7 linked regions of the Tribolium castaneum genome follow. The protein of the gene in region 3 purifies or fractionates together with the protein of the main gene of each other region. This does not show direct contact. Links are inferred from orthologs where the notes say so. Each region holds a gene or a part of one and is shown on either strand. Other genes may lie near its edges. The genes, in order: Polr3F, Polr1C, Polr3B, Pfdn2, Polr3I, Polr3K and Polr2H.

Region 1 (3,914 bases), on a different chromosome or scaffold from region 3:
TGCTCGGCGTATTGTTTAAGGAACAGCTTGCACTTTTCGCGCGAGTAAGTGCCCTTTTTGCGGCGCATTTGACTGCAGTCAACGATCATAAATTCGCTTATGTCGTGATCGTTGGCGTCCAAGTGCTCGATCTCGTACTTGTAGAGGTTCGCCGGGGGGTTGCAGTGCTTGTCATTGGTGTTTCTAACGGTTTGTGATTAAAATGACGCAATTTGGCGTTTTAGTATCAGGGGACTTACCCGTTTTTTGTCGGCGATTTGGTTTGTTTGTTTGGGGGCGGTATGACTTGTAGCACGTGCGAGTCCTTCCACTTGGTTTCCGTGAACGAGGTTTCCACGTTTTCGCCGATAAAGTACCTGTCTTTGGTGAACAAGTACACGTCTTCGGCCATGTCAACAAAGGACGTCCGTTTTGTCTGACTCGCCAAGTACAGGAGTGGTATTTTGAGCTCAGCTGGGAACTCTTTGAGGCTTTTCCTCGCGTTTTCCTCGCTTTCCAGCGCCTCGGCATACGTTAAATTCGGTTTTCCCGTCATCGCACATGTCCAAATCATCGAATTGCACAGGAACATCCTCTCGGAGAAGTCCCTGAAAAGCCAAGCGTTGAATCGATTCCGATCTCCGATTGCGTTAAATTTGAGGTCGATGGCGTAGGTACAGTGGACCGTTAGGTCAAGCGTTTGAAAGCAACCACGTTCCAAATAACCCGCCGCAAAAACTCACTCGTAATCCCGGAAAATCTCGTTGGTGGCCCCACAGTAGAAAACTTCCTCGTCATCGCGGATATCCTCCGGGACCGGCGCTTTTTCGAAGGGCTTTCTCCTCAAAAGAGGCATCGCAATTTGGAGGGAAAACTCACGACTCCACAACAAGTCTAATCAGAATTGCTCCCACATTTACAACACACACAACGCAACACTGATGGATTAGCAACCAAATCTGACATGAAATGGCGAGATTCAAAGCGAACTAACCGAAAATTTCCGCAATAAAATTGCGTTTCTCACACCATTCATGACAAACAGACAACCTCTTCGGCTTCGGGGCTCCGGCGCATGCGCGGAGCGCAGGTGACTGCCAAAAGCTGTGCCCAAGAACGGACATTTAAAAAACCTGCGACCACCAAAATGTTCCACACTTTTTTGTGGTTATGTTCCCCCACAAACATAACCTTAATTAATTAATACGGGATAAAAAAAACACCAGTTTGTTGCGAAACACTTTATTCGAGCCATTCCGTGAAATAATTACAAACTTTCGGGTTAATAAAACCGGTATCGGCGCACCTGCTGGCTATGGGGCAAACCCCACAAGTGGTTGTCACAATGCCAGGTGTTTGCATAAATTTATTGACCGCTCGGTACAAAAACGAGCCGTTCGTGGCCACAATCCGCTCCGCGTTATTATCCAAAACAACAGTATACAAAATGCTCTCAATATCGTCCACTGACAGCGAAATTTTACTAATCCCCAGCTCGGAAATAAATTTGTGGACGTCTTGCGCCGTGGCGTAGCTCCGGTTTCGGGCCAGGAGCGGGCCGCCCCCCATGCTGTTCGCATCCTCCCACTTCTGGCGCAAATACCGGCAGCACTGTTGGCTCAAAACGTCCACAAACTCCGACTCGAAGTCCTGGTCCTGGTACCAGGCGCCCCCCGTGACCGAACTGTCGGCCTCCAAGTCGTACAACATGTACACTTTTTTCTTACTGGCCGAGACTGACTTTACGGCTTTGATTATTTTTTTCGTCTCGAGACTTTTGAGGACTTTGTTTAGTTGCGTCATGTTGAGGTTGGACTTGAAGCGAATGTCTCGAATCCAAATGCCCTTGTTGCCAGCCTCTTCGATTATCTTAAACACGACTTTTTCCTCGTTGTCGGCCCCCCGAATGGCGGGCTTCTTCGACGAGTCTTTGTATTTGTAGAGGAGCTTGTCTTTGGTCTTGAACAACTCCAAGGAACTGAAAATTTTGGTTAGGAATAGAATTAGGGGGTGATTGCGCCCACGAACCCATTTTTTAAACACTTGTTGATTATCAGGGCGAGTTCTTCGAGGGGTAAATTAGGAATTGCCTGTTTTATGTTCTCGTTTGAAATCCCCTCAGGCTTGGCCTTGGCTAATTCCAGTAAACGGTCTTCGTTACTTATCTCTTCGCTGTTTGAACTCGTAGCTTGGCTCATTTTTGGGGTTATGTGAGGTTATGTTCTAACCTCAAAATTTTGGCCTATTTCTATTTTTGCCGATTTTTTTTAGGAAAAAAGGCAAGAAATGAGCGCCTGGTCTTTGATAAACACATTTAATAGGTGTGGTATAAGTTTGGAGTAATTGGCACTAACTGTGACATTTTTTAGGCTAGCCCTCCAGTCGTGCCCAAGACGGGGAATTGCAACGAGTGTCTTTCTCAATTTTAGGGCAACACCATGTCTCATGTAAGTAATAACGAAACGAGGCCCCCAATTCACCAATTATCTAGGGCCGAGCCTTTGAAGAAGAAGAAAAAACTAGACCCTGCAGTTATTAAAGCACGAGAAGACCGCAAGAAGAAGAAAATTGAGAAGCAAATCCGGCGATTGGAGAAGCACGCGCGCCAGTTCAAACCTATCGAAGAGTGTGAAGTGCCCCTCACTCTGTTAGATGAGAAAAAATCAAGGATGAGGTCTTTGCCTGCACTTTCTGACAGTGAATTGGAACAAAGAGCACTTTTGGACAAACAATGGGCCACTTATCGGAAAAATGAGCATCTTACGGACGTCCAAATGCTGGACCGGATTTTCTTTGCGCAACAAAAAGCCTTGGATGAGCTGCGGAAAGAGTCGGAGGAGTTGTATCAGGAAGCAATGCAGGTGACTGGGGCTTTTTTTCGCAAAATATATTTTTTTGTCCAGATTGATTTCAGATTATTGCCCTTTAAGAGCGAGGGGCCTTTGGAAACGCCAGCTATCGACAATTACGAAAGCCCGGACGGTGATTATGCCGATGTTTCGAAAAAATGGGAATGAAAAGGAAATAAATAAAGTAGGATAATAATAAATAGACAAAATTTGTTTTATTCACACTTCAAAATCACTTCAAATTCACACTTTTTATTATTGTTTACGTAACAAATTACGTGTCCGACCGTTTCAAAATAATAAAAATTGCCCCTATTGTTGGTAATTTGATGGTAAAATTGTCTCAAGGCGCCCTAAACCCCAAACCCAGCACAATGATCCCAGTTCCGGACCGAAGAGATAAAATAAATTTAGCTTATTTACGTCAGCTCATTTGAAATTGTAGGTTAGGTGAATCTATTTTCGTCCAAAATTCAAGAATGTAGATAAAAATTAGCCCCCGAAATGGTGCAAATAATGCTAATTATCGCCGCCGCCCATTTGGTATACTGCCCATTTACCAAAGTGGAGGAAAGCTTCAATTTACAGGCCATGCACGATATTTTGTACCACAAGTGGAACCTGTCTCAGGTAGGCGCCCCTTGTCTCGCCCACAAATAACTGTGTTTCTAGTACGACCATTTGGAGTTCCCCGGAGTGGTGCCGCGGACGTTCATCGGCCCCTTGTTCATTTCGATTTTGGTGGCCCCCATAGTCTCGCTTTTGCAGTTGTTCGAAATTAACAAATTTTGGGCGCAATATATCGGTAATCAAGTTGAAAAATAGTACAAAAATTGTGATTTTTTATTACAGTGCGGTTTGCTTTGGGGGGCTGCGTTATCGCCGCTTTCCACGTCCTGTCCCGCACTTTGGCCAAGATTTTCGGGCCGAAGTGGCAGCTGTGGTTCATGGCAGTGACGGTGACCCAGAGCCACTTTATGTTTTACTTGAGCCGGCCCTTGCCCAACATTTTCGCACTGCCGCTGGGTAAAAGCCCCCATCTCCCTTGATTTTAATTATTATACGACCGGTTTTAGTGCTCCTTGC
Region 2 (4,156 bases), on a different chromosome or scaffold from region 3:
CCCCAATTTGCTCGAGTTTGCTCGCAGTTTTGGCCTACACCATAACTATTGACAAATACATGCCTTCGGCCCTTGAAGCAATAAGAAAAGTTGCCACTTGTCCGTTCTGGTCGGCTCGTGCGGTTATAACCGAATTCATGTCCGGTTTTGTATTCCACAATATGCCCACGATTATTTCGAAAAAGGAGTGGGTACTAGATATACAACACATGGTGCTAGAACTACTCGAAGATGTTCAACCTGAAGTTAGAGTTAGTGCTAGTCAAGTTTTAAGCGGTCTTTTGCACTGCCAATTTATTCCAAACCCTCAAGAATTATTAGTAATTATTCGGGTTCTTAGTTTATCGTTAAATAATTCGTGAATTCTAGGCGCAATTTAAACAGAAAGCGAAAACTAAATTGAAGAAGAAAAATTTGAACAATTCAAACAGTTTGAATCTTAGTACTTTAAGATTTAGACATGCTGGAGTTTTGGGCTTGTGTGCTTTTATCAATAGCCATCCATACGACGTACCTGACTTTTTACCGGATGTTTTTGGACAATTAGGACCCCATTTGAACGACCCCCAACCCATTCCTGTGAGTCACACTTTCGTCGTTTAAAAAAATAATTAATAATTTTTAGGCAACAATTCGCAAAACCTTGGGAGATTTCAAGCGAACGCATCACGAAAACTGGGAAATCCACAAACTCAAATTTACTGAGGAAGAACTGTTAGTTTTAAGTGATCTCACAGTGCCTCCCAGTTATTACGCCTAGGCAATAATTTTCCGATTCCAGTCAATTTACAATTTAATTTTTTACTAGACAATAGGTGAAGGAAGGTTTAAGGTAGCAAAAATTTACGCGTCAAATGTTTTTTATTTTTAACCTTGTTCATTATATTTTTTGTGGTTTGATAAAAGTATATTAAGTGAAATGTTTATACATGACTTAATTCATCTAATAAAGCAAGACATTTGTCTTTTAATATTTTAACAGCTTCCATGAATATCACATCAGGTGGTAAAGCCCCCACAGATTCGACCGTAACTAAATTACAATTAATAAAAACTGAAAAAGTAAATAAAAAAAAACTTACAAATGAAATGATCCTGAATTTTGGTCATCGCTACTGCGTCCTTGAGGTCTTCATAACGGAAAACATTCCGACTTCCTGTATCATACCTCGCATTAGCTACAACAGCGTATTTGCGGCCTTTTTCATGTCGGATTGAAATCACACCGGGAGAGAAACATTTTTGGAGTCTCTCAGCTGCTTCACCTTCCACTTCTCGTAATAATTTTATGTCGGGAAGAAGGCGATAAAATGCGGTTGCGACAGGAGAAAATTTCGCATGGTCTCGCCCGTTGCTCTTGACTGCTAATAATTTTAAATCTAACTCATGGCCTGGCCTCATTTTGGCAATGAGAATGTCAGGGTGGATGGGGCCCACGTCACTAAACCGCTCCTTCTGTTTACCAATGGGCACCCATTTGATGTGTTTTGAATACACTAAAATTATTGCAATTTTTATTGTTTCTCAAACGGGGTAATTACCATTATTGTTTTTGTACATATCTTCAGCTCGCAGTGAGTCTTTACTGCTGTCTTTATTATTGGTACATTTAATTTTTAACGCAAACTCTAGAGTATCCTGTTCGGTACCTTCAGCAGTTGCTGTAAAAATATTGTAACGTTTGGAACGGCAACATTACAAGACTTACGATCAGTTTTCATTTCAAATAATCGGGGGTCGGCCTTTAGCGGTATCAGGCCTAAACGATGGGCCAAAACTTCGTCTTGGATTATAGACGTGTTATTAAGAATGTGAACCTTTTCAATGGCCATTGTGGGGACATCACTCAACATTAACCTTCTGAAAGTGTTTGCTAGGAACGGGTGAATCCCTATCAAGTCAAATTCGAGTTCATTCTCTTCACTTCGCACAATCACCACCCTAAATCTCTTCTTAAAGGTTTTCAAGTCCCATTTCTCGTCCAAAACAGTTGGTTCCGAGGGCAAATTCTTCAAAGGATGTTTGAAGGAATTTAATACAAAATAATAAAGGACATACCTGCGTCACTTTATATTCTCCTAAAATCACTCGAGGCTTTTCGTCATTCAGAATATTATCCATTTTAAACTTGTTTCAAAAACTTGGATAACCTCAAACAACGCACGTTTTTCGTAAAAATGACTACCAACCTTACCGTCCTTACCACCCAAAAGCCACTTAAAATGTCAGCTTTTTAGGTTATGTTTTGTGAAAAATATAAACAATTTTTGAAAAATATGACGAAACCCGAATGCTCCAAACAGGAAGCTTCAAACACGAAAAGCAAGGCTGAAAAAGACTCACAAATAAGCACACCTGAAACGGCTAAGGCTCTGTTTGCCGATTTTGTGCCAGAAGAGTCAGACAGCGAAGAAGAAAATGAGAAACAAGACGACAAAAAAGACGAAAATCTTGAACCAGCGTCAAAGAAATCACGAGACAGTAACTCGAAGGTAAGTCACCAGTACACCAAATGAAAAACCAACCACCTTCCCGCAGAAATACATACCAAAGTACAAAAAAGAATGGGAGAATAAACCCGAATTGAAAGCATGGTTATCAGAGAGCATACATGGAAATACGTATTTCTACTGCAAATTCTGTAAAAAGGATTACAGATGCGGGATTTCCGACATTCACAAACACATGTCGTCAAAGAAACATGCCCTCAAAGCGGCAATGCCTGCATTCAAGGCACAGAAATTTAAATTTCGGGGGCTTTTGTGCCCCGTCTTTACCCCATTTACTAACTTAAAAAGAGTGACACCTGATGTAAACCTTAAGGCTATACCAAAATACGCAAATTTTTTAAAAGCTTGCAATATTAAAGGAATTTTAAGTATTTCGCAACTCTAGAAAATGAATTAAATTAAATGGTCAATTTTAGTTAATGACATAACCGGGGAAGGAATGTCCTTAACCATTCATGAAAGAATAGATTTGGCGGACGCGTGGGCTGACGCTTGTGAAAAAACAAATCAGTTTTTGATGGCACAAATCGGGGGAGCCCCCCTCAAAGACGTTATAGAAATGGTAGTTTAAACATTTGTTAAAACTGTTAATATTTTTCATTTGTAGGCAAAACACGCCGCTAAGAGGGACATCGGCGCTGTTGTAATCCTCCCCGACCTTTACAACAAACCAAAAAACCACCTAGACCTAATCAAGTACATAAAATTAATATCAGAATTTACAAAAAACGTCCCCATTCTCTATCACCACAATCCCAAGTTTACGCAAGTTGAAAGTAAGCGTTTCGAACGATGAACAAGACACGAAAAAATTCATTTTTAGTTGATATTACGTCGTTTCTGCTGGATATAACGGGAGAAGTGGATTCGTTTGTAGGCGTCATTTATAGCACGAATGATATACAACAGAGCACCGCTGCTATGGCGGTAAATAGGGAAAAGTTTACCGTTTTTATGGGCACCGACGAAGTAGGGGCTTTATGGCCATATCTCCCACTTAATTTCCACTTTTAGGCAATTTTGGGGGCTGCTGCGAGCGGTTTTACGTGTATTATGGGCACAAGTCTGAACTTTTTACCAAAACTGGTTGAATCCATTTGTGTGGCTGTGCGAGAAGGGGAGATAAAAAGCGCCCAAACGTCACAGAATTTACTCAACAGGACGATAGATGTGATTGCGAAACAAGGTAAAAGAATAGTCCGCTTAACGTGGTTTAATATGTTGTTTAGGCGACTACATAGCGGCCTCAAAGGCTGCAACTGACATCATTACTAGCACTTGCGGCACAACCACCAGAGAGCCTTTGCAGACGTTATGGGAAGGCACGACAAAGAAACTCCAATGCAAATTGCGCGAACTTGGTGTTATGTAAGTCATTTTTATATTTTTACACATTCATTTATAAAACAATAAATTACAAGACTCTACTCGCTTTATTATTCATAAAAACGCAATTAAAATGAAACATCCTGGATATTTCCGTCATTTTATTTACTTAGTGTAATCGCTAAACCTAGAGGGCGATAATTCTTAAACAATTTGTGAAATGTAAATATACAAACGTACAAAATCTAGTCTCCTTTAATATCTTTTTTGCAACGAAACTTGATATACAATTTTTTGTAAACGCCCAACAAAGAATTTTT
Region 3 (5,216 bases):
TTACTGCGGCGATTTTTTGGTAAAAGATTATACTCTAAAAATTACTTCTAATTCAATAATATTGTTTTTGAAGCAGTGTTTTTTTTAAATAAAATATTAAAGTTGCGTTCCAAGTTCATTACTACGATTTTTGGAATTTGTATCTATAGATGTTTTTTATTAGAGTAATTTGATTAGTAAAATTTTTCGCAAATAAAAATTATTTTGTGGTAATTACAAATTAAAAAAATAATGATTTGTTAAAGTGCAATGCTCATTAGGTGACTATAATAAAATAAATAAAAATAAATCATTAAAACTGTTCTAGCGTTCTAAAGTGTTTTTTTTTTTATTTTTTCAAACACAATAGCAATGCCAATTAATTGTGAACACCATCAGTAATTGAACTTTTCTTTGTCATTCTTAATAAGTTATTAATTTTATCACCAACGAGCTTAGGAAATGTAATAGACAAAACTTTTTATTTAAAAGAATACTCATTTTTCCCATGTTCCGTTCAAATAAGCTTTGTTAGGAGGTTGCACAATGAGTGATAGTAAAAAGAATTATACAATTCACACAGTATACTCGTACATGTTACTTCTCAATGTTCTCATGTTCTCACAGAATTCATGTTTTTTTACAATAGATATACTTATTTCGTCTTTTGATATGTAAAGTAAAAATAACTGCTAAAAATAGTTATTAATAATACGAGTGCGAAAACACAAGCTTAAAGTTCGAGGGCTGTCGTTATGCAACGAGCGTATGCGAGAACCCGGAACTTTAAGCGTTTTCGCATAAGTATTATTAAGTTTTTTTTGTTGGAACATTTTACTTTAAAACACGTTGCTATGAGAAGCGAGTTTTAAAATAGTGAAAACATTAATTTAAAACACGTTACTATGGGAAGCGTCTTTTAAAATAGTGAAAACACGCTGCTATGGGAAACGTGTTTTAAAATAGTGTTTTTCTATTTCGGTTTCGTACTGAGGTCACTTTCATTACGATACGCGATTTGCGTATCGTAATATCCAACGGAGTTCTATAATAATTACACTAAAACCAGGGTAATTTATTTGGATAATGTTTACAACCTAGTTTTCTGACAATCATTTGTTTCAAATGTATATTTTAATCAAATAAATCAAATATGAACCTTTAGAGGCTCTTGTACCATACATGATTCAGTGCAAGTAAGTAATTTGAGATCTCATATACTAATATAGTCTAGGATTCAGATATTAAAAAAGGCTTAAAATTTTACCAACAAAAAACATTTTTTTAATTTACCACTTATAGAAAACTTTGTATATAATGAACTGATTTTGATGCATTTTCTGAATATGTTATAACTTACAGCCGGATTCCACTGTATTTTATTTGCTATTTTAGATTGTTCAGTAAGTTTTTATAGGCAACCAATCATACGATTTTTCGAACGGAGGCTTCTTTCGTAACAAAACACGGTGGCAAAGTTTCTTTTCTAAATCTGACGTCCCTTAAGTAGCATATCACCTAAAAATGATTTTTTTTATTAATTTTAATTTTTTATTAATGACAATAAATTTCATGGCAATGTAAAAGTATACTAATTTCACATTACATTATTTGGATTTTTATCAGTACTTACAATTTCAAAGTACCCATAAAAAATTATGTAAAGTATTTGTGAAATCTGGTCTTTAAAACACACACTATATAAGTATATAGTATAAGACTAGTATATATAGTATAAAACTATAGTATATTAAAGTTAATATACTATTAAAATTTTGAAATTTTTAATAGTTTTTGCAATCGTGTTTTAATGCAACCGAAAAAAACTCAGTTCGAAAAACCGTATAATTGGTTGCCTGTACACCCAACTCTCTACACCACATAACCTACATGTTTAACTTCACATTTTCAACATGTAAACAAATAGTTATTAAGCGTAACAGTGATAAACTAATTAATAAGTTGCAACAAAAAGCGCTGAAATGGATTTTGACGATCCCGCCCTTCTCAAAAAACCAATCAAAGAAATCGAAGTAATTCAAGTTTCAAATTACAAAACCTAAAAGGTATTCAAAAATCATTTTTAGGAAAAATGGAAACTAGTGCCCGCCTTTTTAAAAGTCAAAGGATTAGTAAAGCAACACATTGATTCGTTCAATTACTTCATCAACGTTGATATTAAGAAAATCGTGGAAGCCAACAACAAACTAGTTTGTGATGCCGATCCTTTATTCTACGTCAAGTAAATTATAAGGCGCTTTATAAGTTTGGTTTTATCTTAATTTCGTAGATATACAAATGTTTATGTTGGACGACCGGACGTTGACGAAGGCTTCAACATTAGCAAACCTACAACCCCTCATGAATGTAGGCTGAGGGACATGACGTACTCAGCCCCCATTTCCGTAGATATTGAGTACACTAGAGGCACTCAGCGGGTATCCAAAGCTGGTTTAATGATTGGCAGGTAATTTATTAGAAAAATAAAAAAAAATATTGTAAAAACACCAATAATTTTTTTAAATAACAATTTAGAATGCCAATTATGCTCCGTTCCTCCAACTGCGTCCTCACCAACAAATCCGAGTACGAATTGGCAAAAATGAACGAATGTCCTTTAGACCCCGGCGGCTATTTCGTCGTCAAAGGCCAAGAAAAAGTGATCTTAATCCAAGAACAGCTCTCCAAAAATCGAATGATAGTTGAAGAGTCCAAATTTGGGGTCCAATGCGCTGTCACCAGCTCCACACATGAGAAGAAGTCGCGAACCAACGTCGTATGCAAGGCCAACAAGTACTACCTAGGACATAACTCCCTAACTGACGTAATTATTTTGTGCATTCATCGTCAAATTCCCAACAAATTTTTGCAGTTAGTCCCTGTTTCAATCATCTTCAAAGCTTTGGATGTGACAAGTGATAAAGAAATCTGCGAATTGATCGGAGTTGAGGATATTTCTAAACTCACTCCAACGTTAGAGGAGTGCCACACTTTAAAAATTTACACTCAGCTGGGGGCACTTAAACACATAGGTTCGAAATTAGTAGCTAAACGTTACGTGACGTCTGCTAGCAAAATGAAAACGCCAGTTGATGAAGCGAGGGACGTTTTGGCGACCACTGTTCTAGCCCACGTGCCTGTGGAAAACTACAATTTCAGGATGAAGGCCATTTATTTGGGAGTGATGGTCAAAAGGTAAATAAAAAAGTCAGATCATAATCACCGGGTGACAAAAAATTGAAATTTTAATTTGGCAACCCTGAGTATAAAATTCTCTTGTCAATTGTCTGAGTGTTGCCAATTTCAAGGTACAATATTTAACAATTTTTTGTAAAAAAGGGTGATTGAGGCACAGTCGGACAAGAAATTCATGGATGACAAAGACTACTACGGCAACAAGCGTCTCGAATTGGCCGGCTCTCTCCTTTCTCTTATGTTCGAGGACGTTTTCAAACGCTTTAACTGGGAACTAAAATCCATCGCTGAAAAAACCATCCCAAAAATCCGAGCGACTCAATTCGACGTTGTCAAGTATATGCGCTCGGATCTGATCACCAATTGTCTGGTCTACGCAATTTCGACGGTAGCCAATCACAAATCGCCGCGATTCGGCTTCTGATTGGTCGGTTTCAGGGCAATTGGACCATCAAGCGATTCCGAATGGAGCGTTTGGGTGTGACTCAGGTTTTGTCACGGTTGAGCTACATTTCCGCTTTGGGGATGATGACCAGAGTTAATTCGCAGTTTGAGAAAACGAGGAAGGTTTCAGGACCCAGGTCTCTGCAGCCGAGTCAGTGGGGAATGCTGTGTCCGAGCGATACACCCGAAGGAGAGGTATATAGTAAATTTTGTTTGCTTTTTTATACATAATATTACGGAGCAAATTAAATTCTCTGACTCTTTTTTGTCTTACGCCATTTAGTTCTGTTTTTATCATTGATTGTCTAGCAATAGCGTTCGCACGTTTTTAAATTGTGCTCGTTGCTCGCAAAATGCAAACACTTCAGTTAAAACCATACAACAAAAATTGATAGAATAAAGTAGCTGTTTGGTGATTTTTTTATTCGATCGGTGAAAAAATTAAAAAAAAAATTCTCGATGTACTTATAGGGAAAAACGTTCTATTATACACGTAAAGAAAAGTTGGCATTATCTGCTCGTAATTCCTTTCAGAAACCCATCACTCACAGATAATGAACAGCTTTTCTTTACTTGTATAATAAACGACTATTTTTTAACGATTACCAATCTGGTCAGCTGGAATAAGTATTATTGGTTGCATATTTATAGAAATTCAGAATAACTCACTATTGATTCACCCTGTATAGAAGTCTAACTTTACTAATAATTAAGCTACAGAAGACGGGAGCTGAGCAGGGTTATCCTGTATGAATGATTTGTATAAAATTTCCTTTTTTTTTGTTAATACGACTTCTTTACCTTGTCAGGCTCTGTTGAGCAGAGTTTAAAACATCGAACGCAAGCCAATGCTGTAGTTAATATAGTTATTAATAATACGAGAGCAAAAGCTTAAGCTTAAAGTTCTAGAGCTGTCGTTATGCAACGAGCTTATGCGAGTGTAATTTAACTTTTTTTGTTGGAATATTTTAATTTAAAACACGTTGCTGTGGGAAGCCTTTTTTGCTAAAAATTAAGATAGGCAATATCTATAGTCAAAAATTTTATTTACCAAAAAAAAATTCATAACTCGAAAACTAAAAGTCGTAGAGCAATGCGGTTTGTTCCATTGAATTCAGCGGCTTATTTTGCGTATAAAACCATCTTTTAACAAGATGTAAACTTTTAAAGTTTTTTGCTAAAAATTAAGATAGGCAATATCTATGGTGAAAAATTTTATTTACAAAAAAAAAAAAATAATTCATAACTCGAAAACTAAAAGTCGTAGAGCAATGCGGTTTGTTCCATTGAATTCAGCGGCTGATTTTGCGTATAAAACCATCTTTTAACAAGATGTAAAGTTTTAAAGTTTTTTGCTAAAAATTAAGATAGGTAATATCTATAGCGAAAAATTTTATTTACCAAAAAAATTCATAACTCGAAAACTAAAAGTCGTAGAGCAATGCGGTTTGTTCCATTAAATTCAGCGGTTCATTTTGCGTATAAAACCACCTTTTAACAAGATGTAAACTTTTAAAGTTTTTTGCTAAAAATTAAGATAGGCAATATCTATAGTGAAAAATTTTATTTACAAAAAAAATAATTCATAACTCGAAAAC
Region 4 (3,634 bases), on a different chromosome or scaffold from region 3:
GGGAAAATGGCCTGGGCGGCCTCGTGCGGGTCCATCGGGATGGCAGGCACTTGGTCGTTATGTAAGCGTTTGATATGAGTGAAGGCTTCTTCAGCGGCTGTGATCAGTCGAGCCCTGCGTTTTTTCACACGTCTCTCGTACTCGTGCTCTTCGTAGAAGCGCTCGTTGTGACTCGAGTCACGTCGGCGTGCATGCGCCGCCAACATCGCCCGTGACTGCGACTGTTGCAAGGAGGAATTATTAACACCATCCACTTCGTAAAATTTGAAACTTGAGGAGTTTTTGCGCGATTTTGACACCGGGATGCGCTCCAAGTACGGGTTATAAATGGGGAACTCAGTGTAGTACTTTTCAAGGACCCAAACAGCCGCTCGCTGGATGCTTAACTGGCCTATGGCATAGGCGCGGCTAGCGCCATCGGGGCTCCGCACAACCTTGATGTAATACATCGGTTGTTGGTGCCTGATCTCCATCAAAACTACAGCCAAGTAATGGATAAAAAGTAGCGTATCAGTCAGACTTAAGGCGTAAGCCACCAAGGCCTCATAATCCACCGTTTCCTCCGGTGTGGTGGCGGCACGCGCAGTCTCGGTCACTTGAACTATATAAAACAGCCAATAGGCGAAAATACAGACTAAAACAAAGGCTAGGACAGCCGCCCGAAACAGGAAAAACCTTGGCAAGGTCGCATTCGGCTTGCGCAAGAACACAGCCCAGGCCCCGACCGCCAAAATGGCCATTTTGAACGCCAACGACACCAACTGGCCTTTACATTCGGCCCCGCAAGCTAACAATTTCGCGCTGTCTGCGAGTCCCAGCCGCGAGGACAGCGCAGGGAAGAACCCCAGTTTTGGCAATACGACCATGGCTAAGGGGCTCAAGAAGGCAACTATTGAAAGGATGTACGTTAGCACCGTCCCCATGTATCTTTGGCAGACGAAGGAGAGCCCGGTGTCAGGTTCACCGGGCCAGTTACTGACGTCTTCGGTCGACTGGGACTGCTCGGACGTGTTCCCGGTGATGGCAGTGGTGTTCTCGCCCCAGTTGTCGTCCTGGGGCAGGATTTGCACCTCGATGACCTCCTGGCCGTCGCGGTTGTCGGGGGTGAGGGTCACGGCCGTCTGGAAGGGCGCCATCTCGTCGTTTTTGCGAGACTTGGAGCTTCTGTAAAAAAATTACTTTCAAGATGGTCCAGAATTGTTTGGGCACGAACCTGGTGCTTCTGTGGGAGTGCTGTCGGTAGTTGTTGCGGTCGCGGTGCCCCCGTGAACGTCTCGATCGTGAACTGTTTTCCGATTTTATGGATTCAGTCTCCATATCTCGTCCAGTTTCGTTGCCCATGTATTTTCCCAAAAGCCGGATTTTTTTTGCAAGAAACTGTCATGAGTGGTTCTTTATCAACACTTTTGCGGGAATTCTCGTCAAAAATCCTGATTATTTCACTAATAAGTTCAATGACTCCTCACGTTGATGACATTTCGTAAACATGTATTTGTGCATAAAAAATCCAAACAATTTCCGTTATTTGGAGCCTTAGGCCACTTCCGGGGTTCGTTTCGCTCAGGAGGAATGCATTTTCTTGGGATTTGTTTCGTAAGAGTTGCGTAAATCGTTTACAAATTGCATTTAAATTAGTGCGGCGGCTTGTGTGCGTTTTTCTAATAAAACTGGATCATTTTTCTCAAACGGCACTTGGAACACGCACCGTTTTTTCCCCACACACGTAACCAATTCCCTCCGACACTCCACACATGCTTTTTTATTCAAATTTATTCAAAATTTACTGAAAACTAAATCGGAGTTTATAAAATGTAAACGCCTACGTTTAGGAGCAATTTAATTGCCCCATAAATTATGGCTGCAACATGGCTACCGTGTAAACCAAAAATGACTAAAAACACTAAATAGAGCAATTCCTTCCAATGAATTTCAGTCAAAGAAACCGAGACGAGGAAAAAAATAGACGTAGTCTAGACCCGGGAAGATAAATTTCAATTGAAAAAAAATCCACATTGTCTGGTTATCGCAAAATTGGCAAAAACGCGCTTGGTTTTTTCTTTCCGCCAGGTTTACATCATGTGGCTGCGTCACGTGACCATGACAAAGTGACATTTCTCAAATTCCGGATTTATGTTTACCAAAAATGGCAAGTGATTCGAAAAAGAAATCGTCCAAAGGGCTCACGCCCGAGGAGATCCTGAACGGCTTTCAAGCGCTAAGGGCCGAGCAGCGCACCCTTTCATCAAAACTGACGGAATTCGAAGCCGATTCCAACGAACACAAGTAAGTTTCCGGCCCGGTTGTGGCCCCAAACGTGGGGCTGTGGCGGCGAAACCCACGGCAAATTACTCAAAATTGAGTAAATTTTCATTTTTGAAATGAAATTTTTTTCGTGGTTGCCGGTTTTTTTGTAAAATGTTACATAACCTCGCTTTTACAGAATGGTCATCGCCACTTTACAAAACGTGAACGAAGACCGGCGTTGCTTCCGACTAGTCGGGGGGGTTTTAACTGAGCGAAAAGTGAAGGACGTTCTTCCGGCACTTGTTGCGAATTTGGAGAAACTCAAAGAACTTATTGAAAAGTTGAAAGAACAAATCACGAAGAAAGGTGTGGAGATTAATGAATACAGGGAAAAGTATAACATTAGCTTTAGAGGGTTGGATAATCCGGCCCCGAAACAGGAGGAGCAAGTGGCGGCTTCAGAGAGTAGAGGAAATGTTTTAGTGTCTTAAATATGCATGTGCTTTTTTTATTTACACCTAAGCTAGGATTTTTCTTTTGTAGAATATTTATTTTATGTATTTCATTCGAATTTGGTCGGCATTTAACAAATTCATCTTTTTCTATGAGAGCTGTGCTGGTTTTTTGCAAGGTAATGTAACATATTTCATCCGAATAAAAATTTAATTTGTAAGTGGTTTTTTATTAATTTACCCCCATTACCCAATGACGAATTACGTAAGCACCAATAAATTATAATCTCAATTGCATATTCAACAAAAAAAAACAATTAAATTTCTTTCGTTTTTTGTGGCTGTATTATTGGTTGCCTAACCATGACTTTAAATTATTTCTCTAAAAAATTCAAATGAAAGCCTTAATAAGTTTTAATAAATTAAAGCACTTAATATTCACCACATTAAAAAAAACTGGTTTAATTATATAATTAAATTACAATATAAGTATTATCTAAGATAAAAAAAAGATAGATAGTAAATAATAAACCAATCATTTATTAAATCCTATTTGCTCTAGATATCAGTAGTCAGTATGTGAAGTGACTCAGTTTAGAAAAAACATCATGATAAGTTAACTGATAAAAGATTTTCCTCTTGTTCTAGTGAGACAATGTTTAAGTTTAGTTTCCTTCTTGTTTTTTCTTTATTATTTTACCACAACGAGGCCTTAAACCAGCTATGTTCCGTAAGAAAAGCAGAGAAAAACTGTATCTGTAAACGCATCACCGACAGCGAAGATTTAATTGCCACAGAAGCCGACTGCGTAAGAACAAATTTCGACTATTTCCCGACCTCAGAGCAGCTACCTAAAGACCTCAACCTGCTCGACTTATCACACAACTCACTCACAAAACTGGACGCAACCGAAACGCGATTTTCAAGTGTGACCTTAG
Region 5 (3,640 bases), on a different chromosome or scaffold from region 3:
TTTTTTGCATTTTTTTTCGTTCCTTTTATGGAACTTTATAAACTTCTCAATTTTTTTATTTATTTGAAACTTTTTCACATTTTTTGCGGTTGTTTGCGAAAAAAACAGTGAAAATTTCCGTTCCTAGCCAACCCGAAGACGCCATCAAAGCCCTCGGCGACTTCCAGCACGTCTCCCGCCCCGTTGCAATTTCCTTCAAAGAAATGACAACACTAATGCGCCAATGCCAACAAGTCGAAGACGGCAAATCGGTACACGACGAACTGGCCAAAAACATCACCGCGCACCCAATCGCCGGCCGGGGAATCCTCGCCAACAACCCGTTTGTCCTCCTCAGCGGCATCATCCCTGGTAATCCCCGGCAGTCGTACCAACCCAATTTTCCCAACACAGTCAATTTCAGGGACGAAGTGGTGCGGCACGGGCGACATCGCCAAGGACTACTACGACCTGGGGGCCGAGCCCACCGTTGATAAGTGCTGCAGAGCGCACGATTTGTGTCCCGTTAAAGTTAGGGCTTTTTCACAAAGATATAACATAACGAATGATTCGTTATACACGAAATCGCATTGTTTGTGCGACGATCAGCTGTATTCGTGTCTCAAGGAAAATCCCTCGCCCACGGCGCACATTATGGGGACCATTTATTTTAATTTAGTGCAAATCCCCTGCTTGGAGGATACGCAGCACGGGAAAGTGTTCAGGAAGCCGAAAGAGAGGTTCTAAGCTCAATCAAGTGCCTAATTTCAATAAATTATTTTAAGTAAAATGGCGTTTTATTTGGATTTGAATTTGGGTGCGTTGGTACGCCTGTCAGAAAATACAGACCCGTAGTTCGTGAACTGTACCACCTTACTGTTATTTTCGATTTTTTAACGTAACTCAAGTTAATATAACGCACTTTTGTGTTGGAAAATAGTGAAATAAGTGATAAAAATTTAAAAAAATCAAGTTATGATAAATTTTGGATTTGGTAGGTTGGTACGTAAATAGTGAAAAGCGGTAATAAAATATAAAAATCGGCAAAATTTCTATCATTTGGGCAATTTCGCACAATCGCATTTTATACAGGACCTTTGAGTTATCATAATATTTGAAATTGGTCCAATTTTCGCCCAACAAAAAATTAGGTTATGTCATATTTTCGCAGTAAAATTCAAGAAAAAACGCTCAATTTCATACTCATAGTGCCATTTGCTATGTTATGATCGACTTTATGTATCAACATTGGGGACAAGAAAATAATTGGGTGAAATAAAACTCAAAAAGTAAGGTTATGTCACTCAAACTTTATTTACAATTAGGAATTAAATAATACATATTTACAAAGACAAAGTCTCGATTTGTTTGATCAAGTCCATGTGTTTGAACTCGTCGGGGCGCTTGGTGAACCGCTCCATCAGTTCCAAGTGTGCTTCTGTGGGCCTTACGTAATACAATTGCAACTGATTTGCGAGACACTGGGCCTCCTTCAAATCAATAACATTCTTGTCGTACTCTCCTCGCATCAAGACGATTTTTTTCTCGTCCTTTAGTTCGGTGTAGTGCGTCATTGTGAGGCACTCGGGGGCGTTCTCCTTGTGCACCTGATAGTACAAAAGGGGGGTAAAGTGGACGCAGTTTCGCTCAAACTGCGACATTATAAACTCGTAACCCTCTTTGCGAGGCAAGGCGAAGAGAAACGTAGGGTATTGGCGCCCCCTTGCCTCCAGTTCGTTGTAATCTTCCACAGGGACAACCGCCGCAATGTAGTTCTTCTGTATGTGGTACTGGTGCCAAATCTCCTTAATTTCCTCCGGGGTTTTATCCTTAATTAAGTCAAGTTTCATGACTTTGTCTAAGGGGGCCTCCGAGGCCTCCACAGAACCGAGCGGTTTTTTCGGGTTTAATAGTTGCGAGAACTTGCCTTCAGTGATCGTTTCGGGCTTCTTTTTCGGGGCTTTGGCCTTCTTGAGTTCGTCCATTCGGGAGAGGAACTCCTGGGGGGAGGTTTTTTGTAGTTTGGCGATTTTGTCCGCGTATTTCTCGTAGTAGGCATTTTTGGAAAGCTCGTCCAAGGCCTTTTCGCACCGCGATTGGGTCGTCATCAGACCTCTTACGAATTTACAGGAGTATTTTGAAAAATATCGCAAAAAAGCTAGGTTAGGAAGCCTGGCCATACTTGTGACAAGTTTAGGGTTTTTTGGATTTGTCACCAATTTGTGGTTCAAAAATTATAAAAATAAAGCAATTTGCACTCTTAATTTTATTATTAAATGCGATGGAAATGTAAGACTAAGTTGCTACGTTTGAGTAACGTATTATTAAGGCGTGTTTTCAGTGTTAATGCAAACAGCGCGACTTTGAGTAATTTCGAGGTTATGAAACACCTACAACGGATTAAGGACAGCCGGAAAAAACACAAGGGGCAATTAGCGACGATTACGTATGAGGTGATTAGATTAAGTGGCCGTAAATGGGCCGACTTTCATTCATCAATTTTTTCGTAGACTTTGCGTTACTTGGAAAATACTCCTTGTGCCCAACAAAGCCCACAGTCAATTACTGAGTGTTTGAAGGACTTGGAGCCGTTTAATTTGAACAAAAATGAGAAATTAATGCTGATTAATTCGCCCCCTACGACGGCTTTAGAGATTCAATTGGTTGGTCTTACGCAAAATTTGACTATTTCTAAGTGTGTTTTCTAGATGATTGAAGAAAGTGAAGAAAGGCTCACGGAAGAACAAGTTGAGCAAATTTTACAGATCGTGCTTCAGCACTTCCCCCACATCCAAAAAAGCCAAGAAAACGAAACAACAGAGGAGCAGGAATAATTTTGTGATTGTATTAGGATAGTAAATAATAAAACACTGGCGTGAAAAACGACATAATGTATTGAGAATAAGTATAAATACACGAATTTATGATAAGTTATCGCTTTTGGTCACCCAAATCCTCAATCAAGTCCTCATCAATCTGCAACAAAAACAAGTGCCCCTATAACTAGTGACTTTTTTCGGTCAGTGTGGTACCTCTGGCCATTTTTCGGGAATCACATCAAACAAATCGTCCTTGACGTCCCCCTGGATCACAATTTCGTCCTCACCTGTGACTGAAGACCCACACGCAAACCTGGTCCCGAAAAATTTCGCCGCAACTTTCAGATCAATATCTACAAAAACGCGTCAAACAAGACACTCAGGGCCCCCTAACCCCCCTACCAAACCCACTAAGCCCCGTAACCACGGTAACCGACTTCTTCTTGCCGCGGGGGGCCCTCGACACACACACCTGCTTCGGCCCGTCCTCCTTCTTCTTCGTCTTGATCATGCCTTTACCCCCACGTTTCTGACGCTTTTTTTCCTCTTCAGCGCCACCTCCCTCGCCCGCCTCGTCCCCGATTTTCACTTTTTCGAACTCATCGGGCAAGTTACGCTCGAGCCATTGTTTGCATTTGTCATACTCGGGGTAATACTCGCAATACTGGGGCAAGAATTAGTTCGGAAGGTCTGAAGGGGCGACAACTAACCTCAATCGGCATCGAACAGTTGCCACAGTAGATCACTTGCAAGGGGTACGTCACCCCCGTTCTGGGGCCCATCTGGAGCTTCTCTTCCACCGACATTATGGCCAAAAAATGAAATTTTTGAGAAACAAACCT
Region 6 (3,452 bases), on a different chromosome or scaffold from region 3:
CTAATTTTAACGGCTAATAAAAAATATTATAACTTTTATTTTTTTTTTAATTTGTATTTAGACAAAGGAAAGGGCCATCGGGACCCGGGCCCGTGTTCCACGAATCCGAGGCTCAGTACGGCACTGTAGGAAATGTGCACTGTGTGAGTTAGAATATGATCATTGATCAATGATCAAACATCAAAAAGGAACGACTGTATTGAGTATTTCAACTGTAATAAGAAATCTTCTACATATCGCTTCTGTAGTGTCAAAAATTAGTTTTTGTATTTTTTTTAAATGAGGCTTATTTCTCCCTGAATTATCAATACAAGGATGGATTAATTCGTGGTCTCTTATAGAGAGCAATTTTTTTGAAGAGTTACCGGAATCGACCCATAAGGATGGGATAAAGACTTCGGAACACCGATTGACCAAGTGCACATAACTAGAAGGAGGTTATAGTGAAAAGTAAAGCAAAAAATGTTTGGCCAAATTATTATTTTCTATGTGAGGCCACGACTTAATCATCCCACCCTCGTAGAATAGAATAATAGAAGGGCAAAGAAAATTTAAATGTACTCATGTTGGTAAATTATTATTAATGAAGTTTATAAAGGATCAAAAATACATAACAAACGAAGAAAAACAAAATATAAATAATATAAAAAATATAAATATAATATAAAAATAAATTGCCGTAGTAGGGTGCTATTTGAAAAAAAAATCGAAAACTAAAAGGAATTAAAAAAATATTTTTAAAGTAGTTGATAATGTAATAATTAGTTTTTCTTAAAGTACATAGTTTAGGCACATAACAATTAGCTTCATACTTTTGCCAAACGATGTATGTTATTTTGTAGGTATTTCCCCTAACATAATTCATAAAGCTTAATTTCCTTTCTCGTTTGTTATTAAATTTTGCTAAAAATAAGTCAAAATCCAAGTGGAGTAATAATTATTACTAGATATATTTTTCTTAAAAAAAAAATGCATACTTGATGTTGCATGTCCATCTGATGACCCTCTGTCGCTTCAACTTTAAAAAATAAAAAACATCCATGTTTATGGTGTTTTTGAAATAGCTAAAATGATGTCTATTTCAAAATTTACTTAAGTAATAACAAAGAAAGAAAAAAAAATATTATAAACTTCTCTATTTAAATTTTTATAAAACGTATGACCTGAAATTTGTTTAGGAAGGGCTTCGCCCTGTGGGGCCCTACGCTGGCTACGGCCCTTGTAAATTATCCTAATGATTTTGAACCAATTACCATAGTGTTTATTTTTTTTGTCAGGAAAATTGAAAAAATTATATTGAATTCTCATTTAGCGAGAGAGATAAAAATCAAAACCTTTAAAACGAAATTAACAAAATGAACCAAGTGCTCAATACCACCGAGTTTAGTATAGGCAACCCATAAAACACAACGTTTTTAATTATTTTTCTTTGTAATTCTTATAATTTTTTTATTACTTAGTTAAGTAATGTGGTATAGGAAAATGTTTGAACCATATTATTTTAAATTAAATTAATCATTGTAAAATTGTCCTTGTTTATTTTAATTGAAAATATGTCTTATTTAATTCGACTATATAAAAAGCGGAGCAAATTAGTGAAGTAATTAGTTGACAAAATAACTAAGGCCGTAAGTGGCTGAATATTTGTTATAATTTATAATTTAAATAAAATAGAATACGAATTTTGTGTTGGTGCCCTCGCCCCAGCGCTGCCAACCCACCGTGCGCTGTCATTGTCAATTTTTGACACATGTGAATTCAAGTTGAATTTCATCATAATAATCACGGGTCATGGTTGTGTTTTGTCCTTTCTGTGGAAATTTGCTATTCGCTCAACAGACCTGCGGCCGATTAGGTTTTGCGTGTCGCATCTGCCCCGTGTCATTCCCCATTCGTGGAAAAATCTCGAATCGCACGTACTTCCAAGTGAAGGTAAAACCCAAATAACCCACTATCATTGTTCCAACTCCGTCACGCTTTCAGTCCGTTGATGACGTGCTCGGCGGCGAAGACGCCTGGAAAAACTGCGACGTAACAGCGGAAACGTGTCCAGAATGCAGCCACCCCCACGCCTACTTCCTCCAGGTCCAGACCCGCTCTGCTGACGAGCCCATGACCAACTTCTACCGCTGCTGCAACCCCGAATGCGCCCACAACTGGCGAGAGTAGGCGATGCGTTTTTTCGCCCCCCTTTTCAAAAAACTCTCCCCGAAGCGGGCTTCTATGGCATTGCACGTCCCCATCAGGGACCCACATGCTGAGGCTTTAGCCGTTGATTTGTTAAAGTCGGGCCGCGTGATCGCCCTCCCTACGGACACCGTCTACGGACTTGCCTGTGACGCGACGAACATAACCTCAATTAACAAACTCTATAGCATTAAGGGGCGCAACGAAGCCAAACCTGTGGCGATCTGTCTCGGGGACGTCCCCCAGGTGAAGGCTTGGGCCAAAATCGGGCACTTGCCCCAAGGTTTGCTCGAAAGTCTGCTCCCAGGCCCAGTGACTGTCATTCTGACTAGTGCAAGCACACTTGATAAGTCACTCAGTTTTAACGCTAAAGTGGGGATTCGAATCCCCGATTATCACTTTATTCGGGCTTTGGCCCGCGGTTTGGGACGCCCTTTGGCCCTCACAAGTGCCAATTTAAGCAACGAGCCAAGTTCGTTAACAATCAACGAATTTCAAGACTTGTGGGCTCAGGTTGGTGCAGTTTTTGACGGTGGTAATTTAGGACTTGACGATTCGAGACGACGTGCGTCCACCGTTATTGACTTATCAGAATGCGGTTTGTTCACAATCGTGCGACACGGTATTGCGGTTGATAAAACTGTTGCGATTTTGCACAAGTTCGGGTTAATTAACAAACATGAATAAGTTGTTTAAAAGTGTGCACACGTCGAGTAATAAAGACAATTTAATTAAGAAGTCGATCACGGATCACTTGTCGAATAGTGTGAAAGCGATACAGTATTGCGGAGTTGAAGAAAATGGACTCAATAAAGCTGAGGATGTTACCGAAGCTTCGAACACGCTGTGTATGACGATTGAAGCTATTTTTCTGCACGGTTTGAAGGACTCCTTGAGTAAAAGGTTCAAAAGGGCCATTGCAGATGTTGACGAACGGCCAGAGCCCAGCTTCTGGGCCCCCTTACTTGTCATATCACATCGACAAATCATAGACCAGGTAACAAAGGATTTAGCATTTTTTCCAATTCTCAAAAACTAACGCACATAATTCAGAATTTTGGTACAGTTCCTCATAATTAATAGTTATTTACCGAGTTTGAGTGTAAATCTGACGCTCTGTTGCTGAGTGGATTTTTAAACGTCGAGTGGTCACCGATTTACACAAAAACGAGATGAATACAACATTTTATTTTTATTTTATTTTAAATTTGTCAAAAATAATCTGACGTTTCGCATTGAGAAATGCCAAACAGTTGTCAAAACTT
Region 7 (5,151 bases), on a different chromosome or scaffold from region 3:
CTAATCACAGGTTTATTCCATAAATGGAAAAAATATAAGACACTTTTTCCAAAGGTTTTATCGGTAAGGACTGGTAAATATTTTGCCACCGCCTGACGGACTTATAAAGCTCTTATAAAACCAAGGAATAAACAAACACATTCCGCAACATATTTTTCAATATCGGTCATTAACTACTGTCACATTTTATCAAATGTGCAATAAAAGGTGAACTTTCCTGCAGATGACTTTTACTTTGTATAAAGACTCAAACCACTAATGGTGGCTGTATTTCTCTTTCAGACACTTCAAAAACAAAAGACAAAAGGTAACTAATTCACATGTTAGGATAATGATAGGTAAGAGAATATAAAACTGTTAGTAAACCAGCAACTTCAGTAAAAGGATAAATAAATGTTAGTAACAAAAGGAAAAGCAAAGTAAAAATTCAAACTTTTAATAGAAAATAAATACAAAAAAATGATAATTATCTAGAGGAAACTACACTAAACTACAATTTGCTTACATCTACTTCCCCGAGGAATGCAACGAGCAGTTGTTGTGGTACACCACGGAAAACAGGCTGTTAGAGCATCGAAATGTTCGTATGTGTCACTAATAACTGCAAATAACCACCACCTTTAGCCAGATTGTCATGCTAGTATTAAGAACAACTACAAGTAATTTGATTACCATGCAAGCATGTGTCGTTATCAATTTATTTACAATGTTGAGAAAACATGATTAGTAATAATAAGGACCAATCATTATCTAAATATTTTTCTGGTAATCAAAAACCAACAAAGTTACAAACATGCCCATCTACTGGTTTATAGAAAAATCGACTTACTAGCATTTGAAACTTCTTTAACATATTGCATGGCAATCCTTTTTAAATAATCAGCGTGCTCCTCCGCCACAAAAAACCCCATAAAATTTGGAGAAGTATACGTTTCTAGTTTTAGGGGCTCGTTCAACATAGCGCCCTGCCTTTCCATTACGGACTTTAGGCTTTGCGCCAGATGTAGGGCGTCTTCATCAGGCGCCTGTTACACATCATTAAACGAATTCAAAATTTATCAAATGAAATACCTTAAAAAACGAAACTAGCGTAATGTGCGGCGTGAAATTGTGGGCCCCGTTCCAGGCGCATTCCCTGTGCGACTTCTCCCAGAAGGTCTGTAACTGTTCCAGGAAAGGTCCCGTGGGACACGCATATAAAATGTACTCCCTTGGAGAGTTATCGTCCAGCAATGGGTCATTTACGTGGGCCAGTAACCAGTCGGAGGCCAACTGCACGCCCCTGTTACCAGTGGCAGCTAAGGCCTTTTCGCTGTGTGTAATTTCAAGTTACCCGAAAGTTTATTATCATTTTGTTTACTCACGCTCTGTGTTTGGGGAACCCCATCTGGAGGAGGATTTGTAGCGGGGTCAGGTGCTGTTTGGATATTTTTGTAGGTGTGGGGTTCCTCCTAGGGGGTAGTGTTGCCATTTTCATTTAATAAATTATTAATTTCAACTAGGTTAAAGTTTGGTGTTGACACTTCTAGTGGACCTTTGACATTTAAACAGTGACGTTTTTGTTTTGGTTTTGTTTGGGGAATTGGCCTTTCAGATGGCGGCACTGGTTGGAACACTGTCAAGTGTTGATGTCTGTCAAAATTTGCCCATTTTCATAAGAAAGTATTAAAGTGTGTTAATTTTTTATTATTTACACGTTATTCGACGATGGCAGGTGTCCTGTTTGAAGATATATTCAACGTGAAAGATATTGATCCTGAGGGAAAGAAATTTGATCGAGGTAAGTGGCTTTTATCGTCTGTTTGTTTGGATGTGTGACCGGCGTTTTTGAGGTTATGTTTTAACGTTTCGTAAAATTGCTCGAAATTGTGTTAAATTTTGAATGTATTTAAAGTTTACATCTTGTCTCATTTACCTCTGAATTTGGAAAGCGTGTGTATGTGGTTATTAATACGATAATACCGTCCTACTCTAAATATTGGTTATACCCCCCCACCTGTGTCCTAGTTGTGGCATCGATTGGTCTTTTTTAATGCATTAAGAATAAAACCAATAAAAACAGGCAGATAGAATAGATTTTTTTTGGTTAGAATTAATTACTTGAAGGACTTATATTAATAGAATTATGCAAAATTAGTCTTACAAAATTTTACTTTTATACTAATAATTTTTTAACGTATTAATTTTTGTTTAATACTTGTGTGGTTTGTAGGTGGTGTGTATGGGTGACATGGGCCGGCCCCCATTTTTGTTAAAACTGTTCGCTGTTTGAATCATTTGTGAAGACTGATGAATTACATGAATTAATTGTAATACAAAAAGCAATAAAATACATATTAAGAAACACGTAGGGGTTTAGAGCATTCTAGCTGGGATAATAAATGGATATATTAATTACACTAGTTTACAATTTTTTTTCTTTTACTAAGAAATCATTTCTACTAGGTAATTTTGTTTTCTACTTACTCACTGATAACAAAAATATACAGGCTATTTGGCAACACAGTATTAAAAAAACATTTAGGGTGTATCAAAATTGGCGAATTCCGAGTTCTGAGCACTGTAGAGAATTGCTTTAGTAGTCCAAACATCGAAAAGAGTTATTAATAATACGGGAGCAAAAACAAAAACTTAAAGTTCGAGAACTTTAAAAGCGTTTTCGCATGAGTGTTATTAAATTTTTTTTTTTGGAATATTTGAACTTAAATGAAAACACGTTGCTATGGGAAAAGCGTTTTAAAATAGTGTTTAAAATCTAGGATTCAGATATTAAAAAGAAGGCTTCAAATGTTACCAACAAAAAAATATTCGGGGCTGCCTCACAAAGATACATTGGTTTGAAGATTACTCTTTGAACTGCGTTTTTTTTAATTCAGCCTATATGTTTCAGTGTTTATTCTTATTTGTGGTGACGATGATTGTGAAGAATAATAACTGTGAACGATTTCTCAAAAAACTAGCTTTATTATTTTATATTTATATTTATTTTTTTATATTATTTTGGAGTTTTTAAAATCTTAATTTTTTTAATTTGCCGTTTTGTTTTTAAGAAAAATTACAAAAATTTAAATTTTTTACTCTAAAATGAAGCTGATTTTTTGAAATATTGTTTTACATTATTATCTTCCACAATCATCTACATCATAAGTAATAAAAATGAAAATAATGAAAAATTTTTAGCCTTCATTTGAAGAAAACGCAATTCAAAGTGAGCTGACGTGCACCTTCAAACCACTGTATCCTTGTGGGGAAGTTCCGAATCTTTATTTTGTTTTTACATTTAGTCTAGTGAAGTGATTCTTTACAACGCTCTGACCTCGGAATTTGTCAATTTTGAAACATCCTGTATGTTACATTTTTCTATCACATCTAGTTTTTTTTTAATGTTCACTAAAAGTTTTGAAAATTGGTTTCTGGTGTCTAATTTAGCATCCGTTGTTTCTGTGATGAACTAATTGTTAAACATTTTATTTGCTTTAAAATATCATTAAGTGAATGTATTAGACTTACCGATACGCATTGGTTTCATCTATTGGCAAAAAACGTTGTAAACTAGTGTTATTAGGAACTGAAATGAATAAAGAGAAGAAATACAAAGTAAAAAATTAAACCGACGTTTAGAAATATTACACTTCGAATTTTCCAAGTTAATACATTTTATTAAGTACTCCTACACATTTCAAAATGATAAAAATGCGATTTATTTTTGTTTCTATCATATTGAAATTAAATTGTTAAAAAGAAAAAGAAAATCAGTTGTTCCAGTAAAAATTAGTTAAAAATATTACAGGTAATAACACTGTAACAAAAAGTGAAAATTTTTGTTTTTATTCTGTATTATTACTATTATTAGTGTTTATTGAAAGCATAGGTCTTTTTGAATAAATTTTTGGTCACAATTTATTTTTAGTGTCGGTCTGCGAAAAAAAAGTGGGGGTTGACAATTTTTGATTTTACTCAAATTTAATAAGATGTTGTGATGTTATCCATGAAAAAGATTAATAATTAGCCACAAAACAACTTGTAACTTGATTAAATGTAACGAAAAGAACACAAATTAGTTATTAATAACAGAAAATTTGGTGGCACAACGCCAGTGGTCCTAAATTATGTTTAAAAAATCTAGTCATACATGCCTGCTTACTGGATGGTTCTAACAGGTGAAAAATGGGGTCTTCACTGTTCAATGTTATAACGAAATATGTCCAATTTTTGTCATTTTGAGAAAAATATAGAAACGTATGCTATAAAGTCCCTCTCTTTCAAATGCAATAATTGTTTTTGCAATAGAGTGGTTTATTTAGATGTTATTAAACAATTTTGTTATAACACCGAAAATTTGTGAACATTTGTTCAGCAGAATAATGAGATAAGTCAGTCAATCGTTTTCTCTCTATAAGTCTACAAATTACTATTAAATGTAAAGTAATATAAAAAACTATAAATTACATCTGACCTTTCATTTTGTGTGTTTTCTATAAATTTAAAGACAGTATTTTTAAAGGAGTGGTTTTTATTAAACAAAAACATTAAAATAGTGGTTCGTTCTAGCTCTTGGGGTTAAAGGTATTTCCATTTAAAAACAACAACTCAAAAAAATGTATATGTTTATATCACTCATAGAGACTACTGTAAAAATTTCATTAATTTATTGACCTCTTCCTGGTGGACGACGTATAAAAAAATAATGGTATATGAAAGAACAAGTTTCATACATAAGACCAGTCGTAAAGCACGAATTTAGTTTTTTTAGCCTTTTTTTGTCGTTTTTATACAAAAATTGTTATTAGGGATTTTTGGGACAGTTGGTAATGTCTCAATTTTGAAAGTGAAAAATTGATTTAAAATTTTTGTTTTATCAAAATTTTGTCAAAAAACAACAAAACAACTAAACTCAAAACTGGTCTAAGTGGATTTATTTCGTTATAGTACTGAACACTAAATAATTTGCTATATTTGAAGAACCGGTTTATAGAAGTCATTAATTTAATTCGCAATTAAATGCGTGATTAACTGATCACATGACCAAATTGAACAAATGTGATTGGTTCATTCGCGTTGTTAACTTTCAACAACGAATTAAATTTTCACAAAGCTTTCTATAAACCGGACCTTAAGGAATTAAAAGTGCCTTGTATGTAATTTGCAGTA

Evidence for each region.
Region 1: the proteins of Polr3B (region 3) and Polr3F fractionate together in Homo sapiens (co-fractionation; 4 studies listed by BioGRID and IntAct, with this or other methods). This does not show direct contact. The link is inferred for Tribolium castaneum from reciprocal best matches to the Homo sapiens genes POLR3B and POLR3F.
Region 2: the proteins of Polr3B (region 3) and Polr1C purify together in Homo sapiens (affinity purification with mass spectrometry; 7 studies listed by BioGRID and IntAct, counting the BioPlex papers as one, with this or other methods). This does not show direct contact. The link is inferred for Tribolium castaneum from reciprocal best matches to the Homo sapiens genes POLR3B and POLR1C.
Region 4: the proteins of Polr3B (region 3) and Pfdn2 purify together in Homo sapiens (affinity purification with mass spectrometry; 3 studies listed by BioGRID and IntAct, with this or other methods). This does not show direct contact. The link is inferred for Tribolium castaneum from reciprocal best matches to the Homo sapiens genes POLR3B and PFDN2.
Region 5: the proteins of Polr3B (region 3) and Polr3I purify together in Homo sapiens (affinity purification with mass spectrometry; 5 studies listed by BioGRID and IntAct, with this or other methods). This does not show direct contact. The link is inferred for Tribolium castaneum from reciprocal best matches to the Homo sapiens genes POLR3B and CRCP.
Region 6: the proteins of Polr3B (region 3) and Polr3K purify together in Homo sapiens (affinity purification with mass spectrometry; 6 studies listed by BioGRID and IntAct, with this or other methods). This does not show direct contact. The link is inferred for Tribolium castaneum from reciprocal best matches to the Homo sapiens genes POLR3B and POLR3K.
Region 7: the proteins of Polr3B (region 3) and Polr2H purify together in Homo sapiens (affinity purification with mass spectrometry; 5 studies listed by BioGRID and IntAct, with this or other methods). This does not show direct contact. The link is inferred for Tribolium castaneum from reciprocal best matches to the Homo sapiens genes POLR3B and POLR2H.

What each region holds. Positions count from the first base shown.
Region 1 is NC_087396.1:20,820,658-20,824,571, forward strand, and holds Polr3F (DNA-directed RNA polymerase III subunit RPC6), read right to left. Parts: upstream 2,178-3,914; coding exon 2,008-2,177; intron 1,958-2,007; coding exon 1,222-1,957; 3' UTR 1,206-1,221; downstream 1-1,205. Other genes in the region: Acf (bromodomain adjacent to zinc finger domain protein 1A), read right to left, coding at 1-183, 240-587, 723-835; mRpL40 (large ribosomal subunit protein mL40), read left to right, coding at 2,266-2,300, 2,349-2,426, 2,471-2,840, 2,883-2,996; Alg12 (dol-P-Man:Man(7)GlcNAc(2)-PP-Dol alpha-1,6-mannosyltransferase), read left to right, coding at 3,333-3,458, 3,501-3,633, 3,681-3,854, 3,905-3,914. UniProt on the Homo sapiens protein: DNA-dependent RNA polymerase catalyzes the transcription of DNA into RNA using the four ribonucleoside triphosphates as substrates.
Region 2 is NC_087396.1:18,340,468-18,344,623, reverse strand, and holds Polr1C (DNA-directed RNA polymerases I and III subunit RPAC1), read right to left. Parts: upstream 2,234-4,156; 5' UTR 2,122-2,233; coding exon 2,059-2,121; intron 2,010-2,058; coding exon 1,709-2,009; intron 1,662-1,708; coding exon 1,542-1,661; intron 1,497-1,541; coding exon 1,083-1,496; intron 1,034-1,082; coding exon 924-1,033; 3' UTR 843-923; downstream 1-842. Other genes in the region: proteasome activator complex subunit 4, read left to right, coding at 1-320, 370-579, 626-760; N-acetylneuraminate lyase A, read left to right, coding at 2,241-2,492, 2,539-2,878, 2,927-3,072, 3,118-3,286, 3,334-3,479, 3,525-3,696, 3,740-3,882. UniProt on the Homo sapiens protein: DNA-dependent RNA polymerase catalyzes the transcription of DNA into RNA using the four ribonucleoside triphosphates as substrates.
Region 3 is NC_087398.1:9,957,852-9,963,067, reverse strand, and holds the start of Polr3B (DNA-directed RNA polymerase III subunit RPC2), read left to right. Parts: upstream 1-1,818; 5' UTR 1,819-1,961; coding exon 1,962-2,012; intron 2,013-2,066; coding exon 2,067-2,221; intron 2,222-2,269; coding exon 2,270-2,446; intron 2,447-2,514; coding exon 2,515-2,803; intron 2,804-2,851; coding exon 2,852-3,174; intron 3,175-3,318; coding exon 3,319-3,562; intron 3,563-3,612; coding exon 3,613-3,813; intron 3,814-5,216. UniProt on the Homo sapiens protein: Catalytic core component of RNA polymerase III (Pol III), a DNA-dependent RNA polymerase which synthesizes small non-coding RNAs using the four ribonucleoside triphosphates as substrates.
Region 4 is NC_087397.1:2,598,488-2,602,121, forward strand, and holds Pfdn2 (prefoldin subunit 2), read left to right. Parts: upstream 1-2,066; 5' UTR 2,067-2,143; coding exon 2,144-2,283; intron 2,284-2,440; coding exon 2,441-2,735; 3' UTR 2,736-2,917; downstream 2,918-3,634. Other genes in the region: Vang (van-gogh), read right to left, coding at 1-1,164, 1,214-1,317; chondroadherin, read left to right, coding at 3,352-3,634. UniProt on the Homo sapiens protein: Binds specifically to cytosolic chaperonin (c-CPN) and transfers target proteins to it. Binds to nascent polypeptide chain and promotes folding in an environment in which there are many competing pathways for nonnative proteins.
Region 5 is NC_087399.1:3,366,217-3,369,856, forward strand, and holds Polr3I (DNA-directed RNA polymerase III subunit RPC9), read left to right. Parts: upstream 1-2,159; 5' UTR 2,160-2,260; coding exon 2,261-2,268; intron 2,269-2,320; coding exon 2,321-2,432; intron 2,433-2,489; coding exon 2,490-2,642; intron 2,643-2,687; coding exon 2,688-2,813; 3' UTR 2,814-2,909; downstream 2,910-3,640. Other genes in the region: ATP synthase mitochondrial F1 complex assembly factor 1, read right to left, coding at 1,323-2,159; DENR (density-regulated protein homolog), read right to left, coding at 2,911-2,955, 3,012-3,151, 3,201-3,462, 3,509-3,604. UniProt on the Homo sapiens protein: DNA-dependent RNA polymerase catalyzes the transcription of DNA into RNA using the four ribonucleoside triphosphates as substrates.
Region 6 is NC_087403.1:7,844,320-7,847,771, forward strand, and holds Polr3K (DNA-directed RNA polymerase III subunit RPC10), read left to right. Parts: upstream 1-1,706; 5' UTR 1,707-1,791; coding exon 1,792-1,932; intron 1,933-1,983; coding exon 1,984-2,169; 3' UTR 2,170-2,172; downstream 2,173-3,452. Other genes in the region: Tcs1 (threonylcarbamoyl-AMP synthase), read left to right, coding at 2,173-2,874; Plekhm1 (pleckstrin homology domain-containing family M member 1), read left to right, coding at 2,867-3,184. UniProt on the Homo sapiens protein: Core component of RNA polymerase III (Pol III) which synthesizes small non-coding RNAs using the four ribonucleoside triphosphates as substrates. Can mediate Pol I proofreading of the nascent RNA transcript.
Region 7 is NC_087396.1:10,332,050-10,337,200, reverse strand, and holds the start of Polr2H (DNA-directed RNA polymerases I, II, and III subunit RPABC3), read left to right. Parts: upstream 1-1,644; 5' UTR 1,645-1,707; coding exon 1,708-1,780; intron 1,781-5,151. Other genes in the region: Epp (ecdysteroid-phosphate phosphatase), read right to left, coding at 506-601, 830-1,025, 1,072-1,312, 1,365-1,477. UniProt on the Homo sapiens protein: DNA-dependent RNA polymerase catalyzes the transcription of DNA into RNA using the four ribonucleoside triphosphates as substrates.